Callithrix jacchus: one gene and its partners. The protein of the gene in region 4 interacts with the protein of the main gene of each other region in a pairwise test. Links are inferred from orthologs where the notes say so. Each region holds a gene or a part of one and is shown on either strand. Other genes may lie near its edges. The genes, in order: CDR2, ODAD1, PSMC6 and C7H1orf216.

What was found.
Region 1: the proteins of C7H1orf216 (region 4) and CDR2 interact in binary tests that used the Homo sapiens proteins (3 or more experiments, as listed by UniProt). The two-hybrid records come from large-scale screens. The link is inferred for Callithrix jacchus from reciprocal best matches to the Homo sapiens genes C1orf216 and CDR2.
Region 2: the proteins of C7H1orf216 (region 4) and ODAD1 interact in binary tests that used the Homo sapiens proteins (3 or more experiments, as listed by UniProt). The two-hybrid records come from large-scale screens. The link is inferred for Callithrix jacchus from reciprocal best matches to the Homo sapiens genes C1orf216 and ODAD1.
Region 3: the proteins of C7H1orf216 (region 4) and PSMC6 interact in binary tests that used the Homo sapiens proteins (3 or more experiments, as listed by UniProt). The two-hybrid records come from large-scale screens. The link is inferred for Callithrix jacchus from reciprocal best matches to the Homo sapiens genes C1orf216 and PSMC6.

The regions. Positions count from the first base shown.
Region 1 is NC_133513.1:22,964,566-22,970,653, forward strand, and holds the start of CDR2 (cerebellar degeneration-related protein 2), read right to left. Parts: upstream 3,666-6,088; 5' UTR 3,362-3,665; coding exon 3,283-3,361; intron 1-3,282.
Region 2 is NC_133523.1:42,175,172-42,180,701, reverse strand, and holds part of ODAD1 (outer dynein arm-docking complex subunit 1), read left to right. Parts: intron 1-2,317; coding exon 2,318-2,481; intron 2,482-2,580; coding exon 2,581-2,678; intron 2,679-3,305; coding exon 3,306-3,384; intron 3,385-3,457; coding exon 3,458-4,000; 3' UTR 4,001-5,530. UniProt on the Homo sapiens protein: Component of the outer dynein arm-docking complex (ODA-DC) that mediates outer dynein arms (ODA) binding onto the doublet microtubule. Involved in mediating assembly of both ODAs and their axonemal docking complex onto ciliary microtubules.
Region 3 is NC_133509.1:87,258,729-87,264,963, forward strand, and holds the start of PSMC6 (26S proteasome regulatory subunit 10B), read left to right. Parts: upstream 1-2,665; 5' UTR 2,666-2,676; coding exon 2,677-2,761; exon of another isoform or gene 2,762-3,046; intron 3,047-3,773; coding exon 3,774-3,853; intron 3,854-3,947; coding exon 3,948-3,987; intron 3,988-4,233; coding exon 4,234-4,286; intron 4,287-6,235. UniProt on the Homo sapiens protein: Component of the 26S proteasome, a multiprotein complex involved in the ATP-dependent degradation of ubiquitinated proteins.
Region 4 is NC_133508.1:72,298,729-72,303,078, forward strand, and holds the end of C7H1orf216 (UPF0500 protein C1orf216 homolog), read right to left. Parts: intron 4,147-4,350; 5' UTR 4,142-4,146; coding exon 3,452-4,141; 3' UTR 1,707-3,451; downstream 1-1,706.

The DNA of each region.
Region 1 (6,088 bases), on a different chromosome or scaffold from region 4:
AAAAAGTCTGGTCGGTACGAGGCTCACACCTGAAATCCCAGCACTTTGGGAGGCCGAGGTGGGTGGATCACAAGATCAGCAGATAGAGACCATCTTGGGCAACATGGTGAAACTACATCTCTACTAAAAACACAAAAATAAGCTGGGTGTGGTGGTATGCACCTGTATTCCCAGCTACTCGGGAGGCTGAGGCAGGATAATCGCTTGAAGCTGGGAGGTGGAGGTTGCAGTGAGCCAACAGCGAGAGCGCACCACTATACTCCAACCTGGGGACAGAACAAGACTCCGCCTCAAAAAAAAAAAAAGTTATTTTCAGCAGTTCTCTCCAAATAAGCCTTGCTCAGTAATAATGAGGATGTTAAAAACTGCAGACAGATGCCTGCACATAAAATCCCACTAGATCTGCGGAATACTTCTGTTTAACAGGGCAAACCTGCTCCCAAACTTAATTCAGCAGCAAGTGTCTACTGAGGACCTACAATGTCAGGCACTGTAGTGGGCACAGCCCATGAGGTGGCACCTCCAGGCTTCTCTAGTGAACAGATTTCCTGAAACATTGACTCTATGGGAGTAGGAGTCCTGCCTATCCTCTCATGTGGGGAGGCGCTGTGGCCCCAGTGCCTAGGTGAATACCTGGCAAAGAGCAGATAATACATTTTTAAGAAATGAATGTTTTAAAATCTGTTAAAAGCTTAGGAGTTAACACATAATTTAGCAAAACTGGGGAAAGGATACCCTTTTATTCACATTATAGCCTTTATTCTTTGACAGGCCATATTGACAAGTTATAATTATTGGAATTTGACATCCTCTATTCATACCCCATATAGTTATGACATAGAGGGTTATGTCAAAGTCCACTGTGAAAATGTAACAGCCCTTTGAAAAACACAGAAATGCAACTGGCAGTAAAGAGGTTCAGACCTATGTGTTGTTTTTTTGAGACATAGTTTCATTCTTCTTGTCCAGGCTGGAGTGCAAGGGTGCCATCTCCGCTCACTGCAATCTCTGCCTCCCAGGTTCAAACGATTCTCCTGCCTAGCCTCCAGAGCAGCTAGGACTGCAGGCGCCCGCCACCACGCCCAGCTCATTTTGTATTTTTAGTAGAGACGGAGTTTTACCATGTTGACCAGGCTGGTCTCGAACTCCCAACCTCAGGTGATCCGCCTGCCTCGGCCTCTCAAAGTGCAGGGATCACAGGTGTGAGCCACTCTACCCAGCCCAGACCTGTGTTTTTAAGGTTTGTTAAACTTGAAGAGCTAATGACTTTATTTTGATCAGAGGTTAAAGAGAATTCCACCTGCAACCCTGACACCTTGCACTTGCTTCTCAGTAGACTGAAGTGTTACAGCTAGTTGTTCCTAACAATCTCCCACAGCGGGAGAATGCAGCGTGGAGTAAGGTACCTGATGGAAGAGAGCCATGGAAAACAATTTTGTGTGAGTGCTTTAGTTCAGTTCAACAAATATTAAAATTGGGCTTCCAGTATGTAACAAGTATTATGCTAGATGCTGGAAATAACCTGAAAAAGGAACCTACCCCCTCTATTCCCTTAAAGATTTATGCTTCTTAAATACAAGAAAGAAAAATATTTAGTTATGATGATACAGATTGCTTAAATTATAGGGAAATATTGCAATGGCACAGTGGTTGCCTCATAAATCCTGGAGAAACTATCAAACTAGGCCATCAATCCTTATGGGGAAATCTGAAAACAGGTTTGTTAAAATGTATGACAGATTTGTCTTTTTGACCTAAAGAAGATGGTGCCGAACACTGCACGGCAACCACTAAGTAGCTTGGAGTCTATAGGCATAATAAGGTGAATTACTTTGGTTAAAGTGATTGCACGTTAATTTAAGAAATTATCTTCCTCCAAAAGAGGTGCTTATTATCCTTTTCTGAATTATTCAAGTCTAGATTCTTTTCTTCTGCCACGTTCGGTTAGCATGAACAAGCATCATGATCATTTAATATTCAACTAAATGAGATGTTAATTTTCACTGCAAGATTAGTGAAAGCATTTACACAAAATTACAGAAACTGAAGATGCCTGGAAAAATTCTTGAGGATTATTCAGTATTCAGCACAGTGGTTAAGAATGTTCTGGAGTCTTAAGGGGAACCCTAGCACTCCCCAACATTACTACCTCTATTGTGTTACCAGGAGAATTAAATGAGCAACTGTGTTATGGGCTTATCAGTGTTAGGCACATAAAAAGTGTTTCCCAACTGCTAGCTCCTATTAGTATGAAAAAAAGGGGGGCCCACTGGTCCCAAAGTGCGGGCCGCTCTACGATTGTTCTCTGGAGACACCACCGGCAGGCCTGTTTCTAAGTGAAAGCTGGCATGCAAACTGAAGTGACAGAGGTAGAAGGGCTCTTCTGCCGTTTCAATTGGCATCTGGTGAACTATGTCTAACAGCTTAACGCCCAATTGAAAAAAGCTGTAAACTAGGATGGAAAAGAAGAGATGGGGTTTGAGCAGTGACTACAATTCCGAGTGTGTGGTTCAAAAAACACTCCCTCCACACTTAGCTTTAGGCAAGCGACTTAACCATTTGAGCCTCCCCTTTCCCATCTGGAAAATGGGGTAACAAAAGTTACTTTCAGTGTAATTGGTTTGTTAGTATCTCAACGGATAAATGCTGGAGGGGATGGACTCCCCGTTTCCCATCATGTGCTTATTTCACAATGTGAGCCTGTATCCAAACATCTCATGTACCCCATAAATATATACACCTATTATGTACCCTCAAACATTAAAAAATAAATTTTTGAAAAGTTACTGCTTCCTGGAGTTCCGTTACGTGCGGAGCACACAGCTCCCGCTAGGCGCAAAACCACCACCACCTGCAGCGGCCGGCCCTCCGCGCTGGCCATGAAAGGCGCTGGGGTCGACAGGCTGCGAGGGGGCGGCTTCCCGGGTTCGGCCACTTACTGCGGGGCACCTGGTTCACCCGGGTCTGTCTTGGAGGAATGCAGCGAAGATTAAACCAGTTAATCCAGGGAAAGCGCTTAAAACGGTGCCTGGCGCGCCGCTGGCCCCCACGCGCCCTGGGGCCGATATTGAACTGCGTATTTGCAGGGCCGTGGGCCCCGCGCCGAGGCTTCCTGCGGGCGGGATCCGCAGGCACCGCCGGCCCCGCCGCCAGGTGCGCCCGAGCCCTTCCCGGCACCTGCATCCTCCACCGCCAGAGAAAGCAACTTTTTAACAGTTCCGCATCGGGAGCCTCCTGGGCCAGGCCGCCACCCGCCCGCCCGAGGGGCGCCCCCGCCCTCACCTTGCTGGAGGTCCTGGTGGTCGTACCACGGTTCGTCCTCCTTCATCTCAAACTCCTCCACCAGGTTTTCCGCCAGCATCTCCGCTGGGTCCTCCGGGGGCAGCGGCTCCCACCGCCGCCGTCCCACCTCAGCCGCTGCCCCGGGCTCTCCCCCGGTCCCTCCGCCCTCAGCCAGAGCCGCCCTCGGGTGGGACGCGCCGCCGCCCAGGCTCCGCCACTCCGCCTCAGCCCTGCTCCCGCCGGCGGCCGCTACCGACCGGCCGCCTCCTTGACTCGCGTCGCGCCACCCAACGGCCCCAACGGCCCCAACGGCTGGGCGTTCCGACGCGAGGGCCCCGAGCCGGCTCCTCACGCCGCCGCCGGGCCCAACGTGGCACTTTGGCAGAACCCTCCCCGGCTGGGGATGCGATTCAAACCCCCGGCGGCTCCTCAACCAATCGGGAGCGGGCCGCTGGCCGAGCGGCAGCGACTTCGCCCAATCGCGTCTCTCCAAAGGCGCGCGGCTCGCCCGGTCTCGAGGGCATGCAGCCAATGTCGGGCCCGGAATAAACAAAGAAGGCGGGGAAAGAGTGAAGGGGTGCGGCCGAAAGCCCGCCCCCTGATCTGCGCGGTGCGGCTCCTAGGAGCGTGTTCTGGGGTCTGGGCTGTGGAGCCCGCCGCGCCGCGTCCTACCCCTGCGGTGGGTGTCCCGAGGCCGGCGCGTCCGTGGATAGGCAACGAGGGCCTGAGGGTCTAGAATTCCGACCTCTGAGAGTTGAGCGGTTGTCCAGGGAAGTCCTTCGTGCCGGCGGGAGGCGCAAGGGTGCCAGAAGCGCTTGGTCCGCCGCCCGCTCGCCCCTCTCGCATCTTGACTCAGATTTGCTCCGAATCTGGCGGGGAGACTCGGGGTCGATCGGGAGTTTAGGGCTAAGAAAACGCCCATTGAGCGGTAGCTTTTGTCTCCTTGATATCTGAGCCCTGGGAATTGTTCTGACGCTCCCTAAAACGGTGGGTGCCAGACCCCCTTGAGAATTTGGGGCGGGGAGGGATGCCCGAAGCAGTCCACTTGGAAGGAAAAAATTGCAAGCAGTGTTGCATACGAGTTTTAAAAGGTACCCGTAGACCACAAGTTAAGCATCTGGGGACATGACATTGCACCTGGAGGGGACAGGCTGCAGCCCCAGCACTTGGTAGCCAGCGAGGCAGAGCACGCTGTCTGTCCTCCACCGACAAAACCCAGCAAATACTGCTCGTGGGTTAAGCTTTTAGCACCATCTTGCAGACAAAGCACGGAAACTCTTAAGCAGGATGACAGACCTGAAGGTCAATGTTCTCAACCTTGAAGTAAAGGCAAAGGTGCAGCCGATGGAAGACAGCAGAACCAGTATCTTGCTAAGTTTGAGCAACAAAACAACAACAAAAAAATCGAGGTTTAAGTATATAATTCAAAGATTAGAACATAAGGTAATAATTGTTAGAAGTGGAGAGGAGTGTTAGTTAAATCCTGATCTATTTTAGCAGTGAGTCGGCAGATAATACCTTACATTGATAATCCAACAAATCGTTTCCACAAATATGGAGAGAGCTGCCAGAACTGAAAATGGGAGCAATTAAGAGTTTCCCTAAGGGGAGGATTGAGTTGGGGCTGGGGACTTTTTGTTATAAACCCTCCTGTGATCTTACTTTTTTAGATACTTGCACAATTAAAAATAAGGGAAATTGTAGGGAAGGAATTGTAGACTCAAGGCTACTTTTGTCTTTCTGTGTAAAAGAATAAAGACGGGTAATTTGAAAGAGAGGGAAACGCATCCTAAATAATTCTTGTGGGTAACAAAATAATTCTTGTGGGTAATAAAATTTAGGTGTCTCTCCACCTCCCATCTTTGCTCAGATCAGTGCTGATGCCTTATCAAACAGCACTTGACTCCAGGGTTACCTTACGCAGAGGCTGTAGGCTACTCTGGAGAAGTCTTGCCAGGGACAAGAAAACCTCCTTACTGTGGAGTTGTTGCCTGAAGTCCTTAAAGGCGACTGCTGAATAGAGTGGAAAGCACAAGGGACCTAGAGTGAGAAAACCTGGAGTTCTTGCCATACTTAGTACCAGCAGAGAAGCCTTTTAGCAAACAGTTTACAGGAAAGATGATTATGTTTGCCTTGCTCACAAAGCTATGTGAATCAAAGACCCTGAAAGCAAGTATTTTGTGCTCTTTTTAAATGTAAGGCTGTGTGCTTGTGATGGATACTGTAAAAGTGCAGGTACCCTTGAGGACCAATTATGAGCATCACAATAATCATAGTAATGGATTATAACCCATTGAATCGAAGAATCCATGAGTCCATACTGATATAAATAAGAAAAGAAAGCTTTCTTACAGTAGGATGCCAAGCAAAAAATGTAGAAGTAATAACAGTGTTAGTCATAATAATAATAAAAGAGGAATGGTAAACTCACAAAACCCTTTCTTCAAAAAGACAAAATGTTACTGGTGCACCTGTAGTCCCAGCTACTTGGGAAGCTGGGGTGGGAGAATTGCTTGAGCCCAGGAGTTCGAGGTTACAGTGAGCTAAGATAGGTGACAACAGAGCAAGACCCTGTCTGGAGAAAAAAAAAAAAAAAAAAAAAAGGCCCAGTGCAGGGGCTCACGGCTATAATCCCAGCACTTTGGGAGGCTGACGTTGGAAATTTGAGACCAGCCTGGCCAATAAGGTGGCCCATCTCTACTAACAATACAAAAATTAGCCAGGTGTGGTGGCAGTCACCTGTAATCCCAGCTATATAGGAGGCCAAGGCATGAGAGTCTTTTGAACCTGGGAGGCCGAGGTTGCA
Region 2 (5,530 bases), on a different chromosome or scaffold from region 4:
CCTCTGCCTCCTGGATTCAAGCAATTCTCATGCCTCAGCCTCCCAAATAGCTGGGATTACAGGAGCCTGCCACCATGCCTGGCTAATTTTTATATTTTTAGTAGAGACAGCGTTTCAGCATGCTGGCCAGGCTGGTCTTGAACTCCTGACCTCAGGTGATCTGCCTGCCTTGGTCTCCCAAAGTGCTGGGATTACAGGTGTGAGCTGCCGCACCTGGCCTTAAAATTTTTTTTTAAATTTTAAAAAATTTAGTTATCTTTTGAGAGGAGTTTCATTCTTTTGCCCAGGCTGGAGTGTAGTGGTGCAATCTCAGCTCACTGCAACCTCCACTTCCCAGGTTAAAGCAATTCTCCTGCTTCAGCCTCCCTAGTAGCTGGGATTACAGGCAGTTGCCACCATGCCTGGCTAATTTTTGTATTTTTAGTAGAGAAAGGGTTTCACCATGTTGGCCAGGCTGGTTTTAAACTCCTGACCTCAAGTGATCCACCTGCCTTGGCCTCTAGGCATAAGCCACTGTATTTTTTTTTTTCTTTTTTTTTTCTAGGTTGATGAGATGGATCCTCCTGAAAAAAAAATTTTTTTTAGAGGTGGGATCTTCCTATGTTGTCCAGGCTAGTCTTGGCCTCTTGGACTCAAGCCATCCTCCTGTCTTGGACTCCCAAAGTGCTGGGATTACAGGCATGAGCCACCATGTCTGGCCATTTTTTTTTTTTTTTTAATCCTTTCTGTGGGTATCAGTTGCATCTACCTGTGTGTCTTCCCATCCTTTTTTTTTTCTATTATTATTATTATTTTTAAAAATTTGAGTGCCGTGGAGTGACCTTCACTCACTGCAGCCTCCCTCTCCTGGGTTCAAGCAATTCTCCTGCCTCAGCCTCCTGAGTAGCTGGGATTACAGGCACACGCCACCATGCCCAGCTAATTTTTATATTTTTAGTGGAGACAGGGTTTTGCCATGTTGGCCAGGTAGTTTCAAACTCCTGACTTCAGGTGGTCCATTCGCCTCGGCTTCCCAGACTGCTGGGATTACAGGCGTGAGCCACCGCATCCGGCCCCATCTTTCTTATTTTGGGGGACGTAGCCATGCAGAGCACTGAGTCGTCAGGCTGTCCTGATTTTTTTAAAATTTATTTTCATTTTTAGTGTTGTTTTGAGACAGAATCTCACTCTGTTGCCTAGGCTGGAGTGCAGTGGTGTGATCTGGGGTCACTGCAACATCCGTCTCCCGGGTTCAAGTGATTCTTCTGCCTCAGCCTCCACAGTAGCTGGGACTACCCTACCATGCCTGGCTAGTATTTTTTGTATTTTTAGTAGAGATGGGATTTCATCATGGTGGCCAGGTTGGTCTCAAACTCCTGACCTCAAATGATCTGCCTGCCTCGGCCTCCCAAAGTGCTGGGATTACAGGTGTGAGCCACTGGGCCCAGTCTGTCCTGGGTTTGAATCTCATCTCCACCAACTGTGAACCTTGGTGTGTGGCTTCCTCCTTCTGAGCCCCTCTGGGAATGGGGATGGCAGTGCTTACTTTGCAGCGTTGTCATGGGAATTAGAAGGGATGACGGATGGAGAGAGGTGGGGTGTGGTGGGGAGTGAGCTGGACAGCGAGCTCGGGGCACAGTCGGAGTCCACATACGGGCAGGTCCTCCTTCCCTCTGTTGTGATGGCTGTGCCGAGCCCTGTGCTAGGTGCTGTGGGCACAGTGGGAAGAGGCCCTGGAGGGGCTGACCTGGGCACTGGGCACTCATCACTGTGCTAGGTGCTGTGGGCACAGTGGGGAGAGGCCCTGGAGGGGCTGACCTGGGCACTGGGCACTCATCACTGTGCTAGGTGCTGTGGGCACTGTGGGGAGAGGCCCTGGAGGGGGCTGACATGGGCACTGGGCACTCATCACTCGGGCTAGGATGGAGGACACCCAGGCGAGAGGAGGCCCTAACTCAGTCTGTGGTGCAAGACCATCATTTGTGGGGCCCAGTGCAGAATGAGGGGCCCCTTGTTAAAACATTGCCGAGACTTTCAAGATAGGAACCCCTCACCACTGCCTGGGTCTCACACTCACGAAGCTGGCTCTGTGGGGGTGACTGGGAAGGCTTCCTGGAGGCAGTGACACTTGAGGCTGATTTTGAAGGACCAGCCAGGGAGGGGGACACACAGCAGTGCCCTCCCCCTGCCTGGCTGGCTGAGCTCGGGTAAGTCCCTTTTAGTCTGTGAGCCTTGACTGCAGTCTCTGTAGAATGAGGCAGTGGGGACCTGCGTAGGGGGAGGGATGGCACCCAGCCAGCGCTGCCAGATCCCTGACAGCTGGCCCTCCGTGACGCAGGTATCCAGCTCCTCTTCACCAAGGCCTGTTGTGATGGCAGCATGATCGACGACCTCCTTGGGGTCAAGACCAGCATGCGAGACCGGGACCTAGGCCTCTTCCTGAGCCTCATCGAGAAGCGGCTGGTGGAGCTCCTCACAGTGCAGGCCTTCCTGAATGCCCAGGTCGGGGGCACAGGGAGCCAGGGTGGGGTCTGCAGGGAGCAGGGCAGGAGGCAGGCCTCGGGGTGGGCCCCAGCTGACCACAGGCTCCATGCTCTCCAGAACTTCACCTCCTTGGCCAATGCTGCCCTCCTGGTGCTGGGCCAGAACCTAGAGGATCTTCCGAAGAAGATGGCTTCACTTCGGCCCCCTGACAATTTGTGAGGCATAAGGCAGGAGGGATGCAGAGGGGAAGGGGCTTCCATCGGAGCAGAGGGAGCACACAGGGTAGAGAGTTTTGGGGGGCTTTTGGGAACTAGCTGGTGGATGGGGTCCTAGGGGGTTAGAAGATGAAGTGTGGCCGGGCACAGTGGCTCATGCCTGTAATCCCAGCACTCTGGGAGGCAGAGGTGGGCGGATCATGAGGTCAGGAGTTTGAGACCAGCCTGGCCAACATAGCAAAACCTTGTCTCTCTACTAAAAATATGAAAATTAGCCAGGTGTGGTGGTGTGCGCCTGTAATCCCAGCTACTCAGGAGGCAGAGGCAGGAGAATTGCTTGAACCTGGGGAGGTTGTGGTGAAGCAAGATCATGCCACTGCACTCCAGCCTGGGCAAGAGAGTGAGACTCCATCTCAAAAAAAAAAGATGAAGTGTGTGCTTCAAAGGAGCCAGAGGAGTAGGGTTTGGCGCCTGTGTGGGAAGACGGGGCCCCGAGTACGCCAGAAGGGGAGGGCACTCAGGGCTGGTGGGAGAATGGCTGAGGTTCCTTGAGTTTATTAGGAATGGCCACTGGCCTTTTTGAGGACTAAGAGTCTACTCTTTTCCGGTTTTCCTTCCCCTCCCCAGAGAAGACCCCCCGGGTTTTGAGGCCAGAGATGACTACCCCATGAGCAGGGAGGAGCTGCTGAGCCAGGTGGAGAAGCTGGTGAGAGTGGGACCCACGGGGTTGGGGCCAGGCCTCAGTGTGCATCGGAGGGTCCAGCTCACCTTCCCTGCAGGTGGAGCTCCAGGAGCAGGCAGAGGCACAGCACCAGAAGGACCTGGCTGACGCCGCTGCAAAGCTGGACGGCACCCTGGGCATGGACCTAGCCAGCACCCAAAGGAACGGCTCCAGCACCGCCCTGGTGCCCTCCTTGCAGCCCCATGCCATCCCCGGGTCCATCTTGAGCCAGGGGACTAGCAAAGACCGCAGCTCTCATGGCCGTGTCACTTTTGGCCCCCTCAGCCCCAGTGCAGGGCATTTGCCCAGCCACACCACCCACAGTGACCCCAGCACTGGCCACGTGACCTTGGGCTCCACCAGTGCCTCGAGTGGGGGCCACATGACTTTCAGACCTGTCAGTGCCAGCAGCTACCTGGGCTCTACGGGATACGTGGGGTCCAGCAGAGGTGGAGAAAGCACGGAGTGGGGTGTGGAGAGCGGAGGCACCACATCCGAGTCCAGCGGAGGCCTCAGGTCCAGCAGAGGCCATGCCTCCAGCCCCGGCCCCGCCTCCAGCACGGGCCCTGGCTCCTCCAGCAGCAAAGACTCCCGGGGCTAACACGATGGGCACGAGTCCCCACCCTGCCCTGGCTCTCTGTGGGGTCTCTTGTGTCTCTGCTTCTCTGTTTGCCTTGTGGGTCTGTCTTCTCCCAGTCCTAGGCCTCTGTCTTTTTGCCCCCCACCTGTTTCCATCCTCCCTTCCTCACTGCCTCGTCTCTGTCTCCCCGTCCTTCTCTCTGCTCCTGACCCTGCTTTTCCTTCTGCCTCCCGACTTCCTGTTCTCTTGGTTTCCTGGTCAGTCTCTCCGTCTTGTCTCCATATGTGCCCTTTCCCTGTCTGCGGAGCCCTGACTCCCTGTGGTCCCCCACCTCCTGCTTCTGGCTCGCTTTCCTGTCTCCATCTCCCAGGCTCTCCATGCATCCTGTGTCCCTGTCTCTGTAGCTCCTCACTCCCCAAGAGCCCTCCAGTGCTGACAGGCGGGGGAAAAGTCAGCGCCAAGACGCCAGAGTCAGCATGGCAAAATGGGAGTGCGGGAAATAAAGTATCTGTGTGGAGAGCAGGCTTCAGGCATGGCTGCTTCCTCCACCTCCAGCCTGGGGGGACATCTGTGACCCTGTCCCGATTCCCTACCATTCATTCATTCACTTTTTTTTTTCTTTTTGAGACAGTTTCCCTCTTGCCACCCAGGCTGGAGTGCAGTGTCACGATCTCGGCTCACTGCAGTCTCCGCCTCCTGGGTTAAAGTGATTCTCCTCCCTCAGCCTCCTGAGTAGCTGGGATTATAGGCGCCTACCACCACTCCCGGCTAATTTTTGTATTTTTAGTAGAGATGGGGTTTTGCCATGTTAGCCAGGTCGGTCTTGAACTCCTGACCTCAGGCAATCTGCCTGCCTCAGCCTCCCAAAATGTTGGGATTACAGGCGTGAGCCCCCACACCCAGCCTATTCATCCATTTTTCTGAGACCTCCACATGCCAGGCTCTTCTGGAGCTGTGTTGGTCACAGCAGGCTTGGCTGTGTGGCAGTCACAGCTGCAGGTTCTCCGTGGTCCTCATGCAGCAGAGGTTTCTCTCCTTTGTGGGCCAGCCAAGCACTCTGCTCCATATCACCCATGTGCCCTGGGCCCATGGCACAGCCATCATCTGGAGTGCTGCCAGCCCTTGGGCACTGGGAAGAAGAGAAGATGGCACAGCAGGCAGTGACTCCTGAAGCTTGGACCTGATAGGACACCTGTCCCCTCTGCTCATACTCATTAGCCAGAGCAGGTCACCTGGTCACGCCCAGCTTCAAAGGGGTGCTGGGAAGCACAGTCTGTGTGTGTTTCTGGAAGGAGAGAAAGGAAGGATTATTTATCGACATCCTTAATGCCAGCCACAGGGTCACAGAGAAAAAGCTGACCCTGACCCTCTCCTGCAGCGGGGCTGGGTGTAGGATTTAGAGGGCTGAGAACACCATGGATAACTCTTTCCTGTAGTTGAGTCATGCAAAATGCCCTGTCAAGATTTAATCCATTGGTATCAAGCTATATAAAAACTTTAAAAAAAATTCAGGCTGGGCGGCCGAGCATGGTGGCTCACGCCTGTAATCCC
Region 3 (6,235 bases), on a different chromosome or scaffold from region 4:
GTACTACCTTCTTATATCTCTTTCACCCTATATTTTCTAATTTTGATTTTTTGGTCATATTTGTATTTTTCTCTTTTCACTTTATGGTATTTTAAGTTCCTTGAGTACTGGTCACATTTCTTAGTCTTTTTATAATTCTGCTTACCTATCTTAGTGCCTGACATATTCATTCATTCAATATACATGTTTCTCTTTTACTTCAGACACTGGGCTAGACATTGGGAATACAATCAGGAGAAAGAACTAGTTTGTTTTCCGAGGGGTTACAGTCCACTGGTGGGAAAAGACTAAACATTTAGTCACATTTAAGAATATATAATTACAAGTTGAGCTACGTTTTCAAATGGAGAGAAATACAGTCTTATAGGCACATATAAAAAAGTAACAGAGCCAGGCGCAGTGGCGCATGCCTGTAATTCCAACGTTTTGGAAGGCCGAGGCAGGTGGATCATCTGAGCTCAGGAATTCAAGACCAGCTTGACCAACATGGTGAAACCCTGTCTCTACCAAAAATGCAAAAATTAGCCAGTCGTTGTGGCGCATACCTGTAGTCCCAGCTACTCAGGAGGCTGAAGCCAGAGAATTGCTTGAACCCGGGAGGTGGAGGTTGCATTGAGCTGAGATCTCGCCACTGCACTCCAGCCTGAGCGACAGAGCGAGACTTGGTCTCAAAAATAAAACAAAACAAAACTGTAACAGGGCTAGTGTAGGCATAGGGAAACTAGAAGATTCATCTGAAGTTGAAATGCTGCCAGATGGGTGAAAGAAAAAGAAAAAGGGTCAAAGTAGTTTAAAATATTCATGTGATTAATGCTAAAATAATCTATCAGTATGTGCTCCTAAAATTTGTTAAACTGAACCAAACTGAGCTATCTTTTTTCTCTGCCTTGTCCTCTCTTCACTTCTTGATGTCAGAGGTGACATATTCTGGTATCAATGGACTAGTTTGACCAGAGTAGTTGTGAGTGGGAGAAGGGACTATCTCTGCCCAATCCATCTTCTTTGTTCATTGTATACTGCAAGAACCCAATTGTATTTAGAAAAATAGAATGGAATCTTCACACAGTGCCCATGAGAATTGTTTCTAATAAATTTGAAGGCACCCTTTATGTGACTTTGGGTCATTAATTTAAGTAAATTTGTGCTTTATTTTTATATTTAGTATATACATATTTAAACTAAAACATTCATGGCCATTGGATAAGATCAAATGGAATCTATCTGGAGAATTTTACTGATTTTTTTGAGACAACAATTAACTGTCCCCAGGAACAATGATGGCAAGAGGTATAGCAATGAGGACCTGTACTGCAAAAATTGGGGTCATTACTACTCTTGAATAACTATTCAAAAGAACACTATTGAGTACTTACTATGTGGCAGATGTTGTGTTACCAGCTTTAGGCACATTATCCTAGTGAATACTCATGACAACCCTATTAGATAAGTGCAATTATTATGATCATTTTACAGAGATATTGAGGGAATATGTAATTTTCCCCAAATCACAAAAATCTGAAAGTTGGCCAGCCGTGATGGCTCACACCTGTAATCTCAGCACTTTGGGAGGCTGAGGCAGGCGGATCACTTGAGGTAAGGAGTTCAAGACCAGCCTGGCCAACACAGTGAAACCCTGTCTCTACTAAAAATACAAAAATGAGCTGAGCGTGGCGGCGGGAGCCTGTAATCCCAGCTCTCAGGAGGCACGAGAATTGCTTGAACCCGGGAGGCGGTGGTTGCGGTGAGCCGAGATTGCGCCACTGCACTCCAGCCTGTGTGACAGGAGCGAGACTCCATTTAAAAAAAATAATAATAATAATCTGAAAGTTCTATCAGCCTTCAGAGTTCCTGCCTCAGCCTACTTCCGCATCTTTATCTTGCACCCCACGTCTCTACAACCCACCCGCTACTGGTACCATTGGCCTTTCTGTTCCTGGAAGTGAGCCAAGCTTTCTACCCACATCCCGCCACCCCACCCCACTCCAGGACTTGTGCTTTCTGTTTCCTTTGTTTAGAAGGTTTGCTTCAGTTGTTGCAAGGCTGGTTTCATCTCATCTCAGATATCTGCTCTAGATTAATTTTTCCCACCATACTTCTCACCGTATTTTAATTCCTTCATAGTATTTGCTATACTCTCAAGGTTTTTTTTTAATTATTTCCCACCAAATCATAAGCAGATTTATTTTTAATACCTCATTCACTCACTGAAGGGTTGAATAAAACTGCCTACTTCTGAACGTGGAGGTCTTGGATAGCACTGTGGTATACGAAAGGCCATCTGTGTTGTGTCGACAGGCCATCGGAACTCTTTTGAGGTATTACACATTTCCTACTTCACTTTCATCTCATTTTATTACACAGCCTTTTATAGTTCCGGGACAGCAGTTAATACTGAGGCCTCTCCGGGGAAGACCGGGTAACTGCGTCCTGCTTTACCCATCTTGGCCTGCAGGGGACGGTGTGGTCGGAGTCCCCCTTTAGTGTACGCCGGCGTTCTAGGTGAACCAAGACATAGAGGTGGGAGAACTGAAGTAGAAAGGCGGGGCCAACAGGAAGGGGCGGGTCCATGGGCAAACCCACCCCTACAGGCCTGGTTTCGTCCCTTGCCCCGCCCCTTCCCCCGCCCTGACGGCCATGGCCATTCCCGGCATCCCCTATGAGAGACGGCTTCTCATCATGGCGGACCCTAGAGATAAGGCGCTTCAGGACTACCGCAAGAAGCTGCTTGAGCACAAGGAGATCGACGGCCGTCTTAAGGAGTGTGAGCGCACCCTTCTTTCTATGTAATCAAGTGCCTCGACTCGCTTCTGCCTCTAACAAAGTAGAAGCCTTTGGCCGAGCCCGGTAACCGAGACTTAGATATGACCAGGCCTCGGTCCAGGGACAAGGCGCTTTGTCATCCGGCCCTGAGCTTGGGGAGCAGCACTCCTTCGTGTGTAGAAATGGCCCAGTCCAGTCCAAGTGACAGAACATCCGCGGCCCTGAAGTGGAAATGAAAAAGAACTAGAGGAGGAGTGGGAAGAAGTAGGCCGAGGATGTTACTCAGGTTAGGGTGCAAGGAGGGCAGTGTTTTTGGAGTCCTGGGACTCGAAGAGGGGAAGGCGCTTGAGTCAAGGAAGCTCAAACAAGAGATGAGACTCAGGGAGTCGGCTTGTTGGAAGTAAAAGACGGCCGCGGAGCTTAAGAGAGAAGGGTTCCAGTTGTCACAATAACCCATTTCGTCTTTTGTCGTGTTTCCTGTTGTACTGTATCAAGGCATACAAATTTCCCTTACCTCTTGAGGGCTTAACTTTTTTTTTTTCCAGTGCATTTTCATTGAAAAGCATGAGTGGTTTAATTAAATGAAGGAGGACTGTAACTAAGTGATTCTGTGGAGAACTCCATTTTTTGACTTGAGGTTAGAATATCAGAGAAGAATCCAAGTGGGTAGGTGAATAGGTGAGGAAGGGTCTAACTAACTGATTATCATTCGGATTTGTAGTCGCAAATCCTAAGTGTCAATGTGTCAATATCTGTTAAGAATATAACTTAATGTGCTTAAACAAGTGTTGCCGATCAAGAAAATAAAATTACGGTGCTTTCTCTGAAACATTTTTTTGTTGTACATGCCACCTACTATTACAAACAGCATTGTTTCTTTTGTGGTTTGAAATAGTGGATGTGAAACTTAGGTAAAGTGAAATAGACTTAAGTAAACACTAAAGTGAGATTTAGCGATTTAAACACATTAAGATTACTGTTCAACTAAAAATGTTCAAATTGTATTATTTCAGTAAGGGAACAATTAAAAGAACTTACCAAGCAGTATGAAAAGTCTGAAAATGATTTGAAGGCCCTACAAAGTGTTGGGCAGGTAGGTAATGGAGTTTGGGGATTAGCGGGTGATGGTAATTTGCTTTTTTATTTAGGTGTTGCCAAAAAGTAATGCTTTTTATTTTCTTCCTTAGATTGTGGGTGAAGTGCTTAAACAGTTAACCGAAGAAAAATGTGAGTGAATTTAGATTAGTAATTAGTAAAGAAACAGCTCACCTCTCTCTAACTTTTGAAATGCATATTATTTCAAAATGCATAATGACACTAATGCAGAGAGAGAGTATTTTTGCATAGACTTAAGTTTGTCTTCAACTATTGTCTTCTTGGAGGACAGAAAATAAAACTAAGCCCTCTATCAATGTGGATATGTATTTTTTTACTTTGTTTTTCAATTACTTCTTTTTTGTTTTTTTCTTCTAGTCATCGTTAAAGCAACAAATGGACCGAGATATGTTGTGGGTTGTCGTCGACAGGTAATACTTTTTATTTGTCTAGTGCTTGCTGATTGATAAAAGCAGTTTCATGTAAGTTATTGTCTCTAATTCTTGAGGCAAACAGGTTGGGCATTTATGCCCATAACTGACAAGGGTGATTTGTTCAGACATAGCTAGTTATTAACAAAGCCTGAATTCAAACCATAGGCTTTGACTCCTGGCATTCTCTACTTTCTACTGTATTACATTGTCTCAGTCAGATCTATTAACAGTGACTTAGAAATCAGTGTTTTAGAACTGGAAAATAGGCATTTTATGTTAGTATCTTTTTCATGTGTGTGTGTGAGAGACAATATCACTCTGTCACCAGGCTGAAGAGCAGTGGCACGATCTTGGCTCACTGCAACCTCCAACTCCCTGGTTCAAATGATTTTCCCTGCCTCAGCCTCCAGAGTAGCTGGAATTACAGGCATGCACCACCATGCCCAGCTAATTTTTTTTTTGTATTTTTAGTAGAGACTGGGTTTCGCCATGTTGGCTGGGATGGTTTTGATCTGACCTGGTGATCCACCTGCCTCGGCCTCTTAAAGTGCTGGGATTACAGGTGTGAGCCACAACACCTGGCTTTAATGTCATTTTTAAAGAGGACTTAGAAGTGTTAGATACGATCAGTTACCTGTGTTTATATTTCAGCATTCAGAACTGTTACTGATAAGACTGTACCATGGCCTAAGTTAATTTTGTATGAGGTCATTTAGATTAGGGTAGGACAAGTTGAAATAATTCTGAATTTTATTTTACCGTCACTAAAGATGCCAACAAATGACCTCAGGTCATTCAGTAGTGTCTGAAATCAATTTATGTACTATAGGAAGTGTCCTTAGGTAGAGACTTCTTTTAAATTCATTGGAAGAGCTCTGTGTAATTGTCATTTTGGGTTCGGATTTTAAAACATTCACAGGACATGGCTGTAGGGGAGAATTTAATCCAGGGAATAAATCTTGTATTAAGATTTTGCCTAGTATATTAAGTGGTTGACATTTTTTAAGTCAAACTATTAGATACCTAAACTGACAAGGGGTTTTTATGTCCGTTTCAGGGCTTTCTGGATGCCAAAAGTTGGCATTAAGATATTTCAGGTTGCATGAGGACAAGACAATATTTGAAAACTAGAAAACATTAGAAAAGCCAAGGTATATATAAGTTGAGTATCCCTTATCCAAAATACTTGAGCCAGAAATATGTTTTATACTTTGGCTTTTTTCAGATTTTAGAATATTTGCATTATATTGGTTGAGCATCTCTAATTAAAAAATCCAAAATTTGAAATGCTCCCATGAGCATTTTCTTTGAGCATCATGTCAGCACTCAAAAAATTTCACATTGTGGAGCATTTTGGATTTTCAGATTAGGAATACTCAACTTGTATTCCCTGCAGATGTAAACATTGAAATGGCTTCATATTGATCTCTCCTCTTCTTTTTCCAAGTATCCTTGCTTTTTAGCAGTTTTTTTTCTTGTTATATTAATCCTAGTGTTTTGACTATCTTCCTAAGTTTAAAGCTCTTTGTAAAATCTTGTGACAAGTTGTCAGTAATTTATGTGATTCTGAAATTGTATTGGCAAGCAGTTTTTTAAAACTATTAATAAGTAACTTTGTCTTTGAAAAATAACAACATCCTGAGTGTGAGGCGAATCTATTAGATGCAATGCCGTCTATAATTTTAGGCAGATATGCCAAGAAATTATTTAGTGTGATTCAGCTTAATGTGTAATGTGCTCAGCATATGCCTATAATGTTGCAAAGGCATGAATGATGGTTGCTGGGCTTTGGGCTTTAATTTTAAAGCATTTTAATACAAATCTCTAAGTGGATATAGTACATTTCCTCCTATTCTCATGATCATGTAACACACATTCTTCCCAGAAACCATGCATTTCAGAATAAATCTGATGAGCACACCTTTATTTATTTTATTTTATTTTTC
Region 4 (4,350 bases):
AGATCGCACCATTCTAGCCTGGGTGACAGAGTGAGATTCTGTCTCCAAAAAAATAAAATGTGAAAAAAGGAAAAGAAAGAAAAAGAAAAGGGCTCCACTCCTTATGAAAATTCACCCTCTTATGCTCTGAAGGCTTGACAGATGTCTCATTGTCAGCAATCGCCATTCAAATTCAGCCTTAGCCCTTTGCCCGAACATCTCTTAGTAAGTGGAATTTGCTAAAATTGGTTCAATACTATTTAAGTGTCAAGTATGGAGATGACAAGAATTATTAACTGTTTCAGTGACAAGTATACTATGTGAGGTTTAAAATAAATACATTGGCCAGGCGCAGTGGCTCACACCTGTAATCTCAGCACTTTGGGAGGCTCAGGTGGGAGGACGGCTTGAAGCTAGCAGTTTGAGACCAACCTGGGTAATACAGCGAGAAGCCATCGCTACAAAAAACCTTAAGAATTAGCTGGGTGTGATAGTGCATGCCTGTTGTCTCAGCTACTCAGGCAGAGGTGGGAGTATCACTTGAGCCCAGGAGTTCAAGGCTACAGTGAGCTATGATCGCACTACTACGCTCTAGTTTGGGCAACAGAGTGAGACCCTGTCTCCAAAAATAATAAATCAAATAAAAAGAAAATACAAGCTGGGTGCAGTGGCTCACACCTGTAATAATCCCGGTACTTTGGGAGGCCAAGTAGGTGGATCACAAGGTCAGGTGTTCAAGACCAGCCTGGCCAATATGGTGAAACTCCGTCTCTACTAAAAATACAAAAAATAGCCAGGTGTGGTGGCGCACGCCTGTAATCCCAGCTACTCGGGAGGCTGAGGCAGAAGAATCTCTTGAACCTGGGAGGCGAAAGCTGCAGTGAGCTGAGATTGCTGCAGCCTGGGTGACAGAGCAAGACTCTTGTCTCAAAAAAAAGAAAAAATGCAGTATATTTCAGATTTGTGAATTTTGATATCCCTGGGGGTCCTGGAACCAATCCCCTCAGATACCAAAGATGACTATATATTATAACTACATGTGTGTCGAAACCATCTAAGGACCTGAACTCAGTCTTTCATAGTCAGTGCCCTTCGGGGAAGTGATGATGCCAGGGTACAGTTTTTTGTTTTGGTTTTTGAGATGGAGTTTAACTCTTGTTGCCCAGGCTGGAGTGCCATGGTGCAATCTCTGCTCATGGCAACCTCCACCTCCTGGGTTCAAGTGATTCTCCTGTCTCAGCCTACTGAGTAGCTGGGATTACAGGTGCCTGCCACCATGGCTGGCTAATTTTTGTATTTTTAGTAGAGATGGGGTTTCACCATCTTAGCCAGGCTGGTTTTGAACTTCCAACCTCAGGTGATCCACCTGTCTGAGCCTCCAAAAGTGCTGGGATTACACTGCGCATGGCCCAGATACAGTTGAGTATGTGAAAGTGTGTATGATATGTGTCCCTCACAATTCACTTAGGCCCAAAGGTGACATGGCACAAGGACAATCCCAGTGGGGCTCTCAGGGTAGAGGCCGTCTCCCCTGTCACACTGGGAGGCCCCTGAGAGACTTCCCCACCCCATCGGGTCATCAGGTATAGCAGTCTACATTCTCCAGTGTCTTCCCCCAAAACCACCCCCCACCTCCTCGTCCAGGACCCTACTGAAAAGGGGAGCTCAGATGGTGTGGAAAAGAGACCACCAGAGAACAGGTAGAAGAAAAACACATACTCAAGAAATTTAATTCTCTGCCCAGTTTATTCATTCTGGGTTGGTCCAAAGGCTGGGTTTACACACTCAATATGCAAGAGCTGCAGACGAAGTCTTCAGGGCCCACCCCTCACCCCTGCTTCCTGGACCTTTCGCCCACCCACCTATCAGGGACAAAACTCTTTAGAGATAGACAGGAAGAGCTCTCCCACTTTGCCTGGGAGACTGAGGGCCAGAGGCTGCATCAGTGACTTCCATGCCACTGTTCACTCATCAGTGTCCCCTCTTCATACCACTGCTCATCCACCAGGATTCTGCATTCTCTTGGCTCCCAGGAACAAAGCAGAGAGCTCAGCTACCTTACTCATTGATTTTAAGACTCACCCACTCTGTAACTCACGGAGTCTGCCAATCCCTGTTTGAAGGGCCATGCAGTGAAAGAAGAGGTTAAAACTCAGCGTCCTAAGCATTTCCAGAGGTTTAGGTTGACACTGTCCCCTTCCTGTCCCAGAAAGCCAACCTCTGGCTCATCTTGACAGTCCGACTTCAGAGAAATGGACCAAACCAATTCAACATCCAATGCTGTAAAGCCAGAGAGGCACAGCAAGGTAGAGGCACAGACAGGGAAGTGATATTTTCCTTATCAGCCTTGGAACATCTTGTCTGTTACTTGCAAACTTATACATACACATTGCTTTTCATCAGAAGCTTAAATCAACAGGGTTTGCCACAGCTCCTTTCCCAATGGAGAGATGGTTTGTTTGGGAACTAGTATTTTAGAACTCCCATTCTCCTGTTCTTCACAGGGTTCCACTATTACCATCTCCCCTGTCCCCATCTCCCATGTGCCCAAAGGTAGAGTTCAAGAGGGACAGTCCCCTATGTCCTTCTCTGTCCCCAATGCCACCATCATCTCCATCACTACTCCTAGTTCCCCTTCCTGACACCAGTTCTCCACCCACTGCCTGATAAAATTGCAGCCAAAATGCCATGGCAGGCCAGAGCAGCCACTAAACCTCCTACGGCAAAGCCAACATCAGGGAAAACAGCCGTAGCTCAGCAAGTCTGGGTTTAGTGAGGGAAAAGGAGAGGAAAGGTGGCCTGTAAATCCCAGGAGAACGAATCAGCCACAACCCTCAGATAAATGACAGCATGCTAGCCCTCTGTCTAGTAGACTCAGGGGAGAAGAAAGGCTGGGGTAGGCCACGAGGGACACAAAGTGTGGATGGACACTGCACTAGTACCGCTGGATATATATTTGCACACACCTGCTCATGAGTCTGCCTGCAAACACACATGCTCCTTATACCTCCCATGCCTGTGCCCACACCCATGCACCCCTGCACACACGACGGCTCTCTCCCATACACCCAACACAAGCCTGCACACTCAAACTCACTCATATACACACACATATTCTGCATATACATCCTCACTCATGTGCACATACATACACTGCTGGGTACCTGTCTATACACGCATATACAGATTTCCTCCTTCTTACATACTACACACACATATGTTCACTCTTACACACTTACATGTAGGTCTGCAGATAAGTTCGCTTGTGTGTACACATGTGCACACAGCACTTAAGCTCATTTATACATGCTTATTGACACATGCCTACACACACTTGCCTACATGTTAGCACGTTCACACTCATGCCTACCTGCAATCATGCCAGTAAATAATTATGTACTTATTAGGGCACAACCTCATACATGCCTGCAAATATACACATACACCCTTGCACACTTGTGGAGGCACACCCTTAGCCCTGGTCCTGGGGCCTGGATGGTGCTGCCCTCTGCTGGAGACAGCGAATAAGCTCCTTCCGGTTGTCTAGGATGGTGTCGAAGCTCTCCTGCAGTCGGGCCTGCTGATCAATCAACTGATGCTGCAGGCCCCGGATCCACTGCAGCAGTGCCAGGCGACGGTACATCACCAAGTGCACGTGGTGCTTTTCCTTCTCCTGCTCTTTGTAGCGCTCCTGAGCTTGCAAGTGCTGCACAGCCTGGGCCACTGAGGGCAGAAGGAGATCAGGAGGGCCAGGGCCTCTCAGAGTCCCACAGGCAGGCTCAGGACTGCTGCTAGGGCTGTCGATGCTCAGGGAACTGCTGGCATAGCCGTTGTCCTCCAGAGGGGAGCAGACTGTGCCAGCACTACCCATCTTCTCAGGTTCAGCCCCGGGAATCTCTGCCCCCTCTGGGGGGCTGCGCACCCCTTCCTCAGGGGACCCAGGGGCCTGGAAGGCCTGGTTGTCAGAGGGCGACTCAGAGGAGCTCCTCATCAGGATCGGTTCCACTCTGCCTGGCATCCCATGCCAATTCTCATTAGCATCCTTGGCACTTGCCATGAAGTTGGAGTTGCTGTCTGGTTGGAGCTCAGGCTGACATACTCCAGGAGGCAGGTCCCCCAAGAATTGCCCCCCCTCAGCTAGCCCTGGCTGGATGGCGAACATCTGGTCTGTAAAGGGAAAGCAGGAGACTGAGTCACAGTAGGACAGGGCAGAGTACCTTAAGTCAGGGCAACTTAGCTGCAGGGACGAAGCTGCGAGCAAGAGCCTGGCCACTCCCTGTCAAACCCTTTCTTGCCTCTGGTAGCACTTCCCTTCATGGTTTTCATCCTCCCTGTTCATCCATCTACCTGTTCATTCTCTGCCTCCTGCAG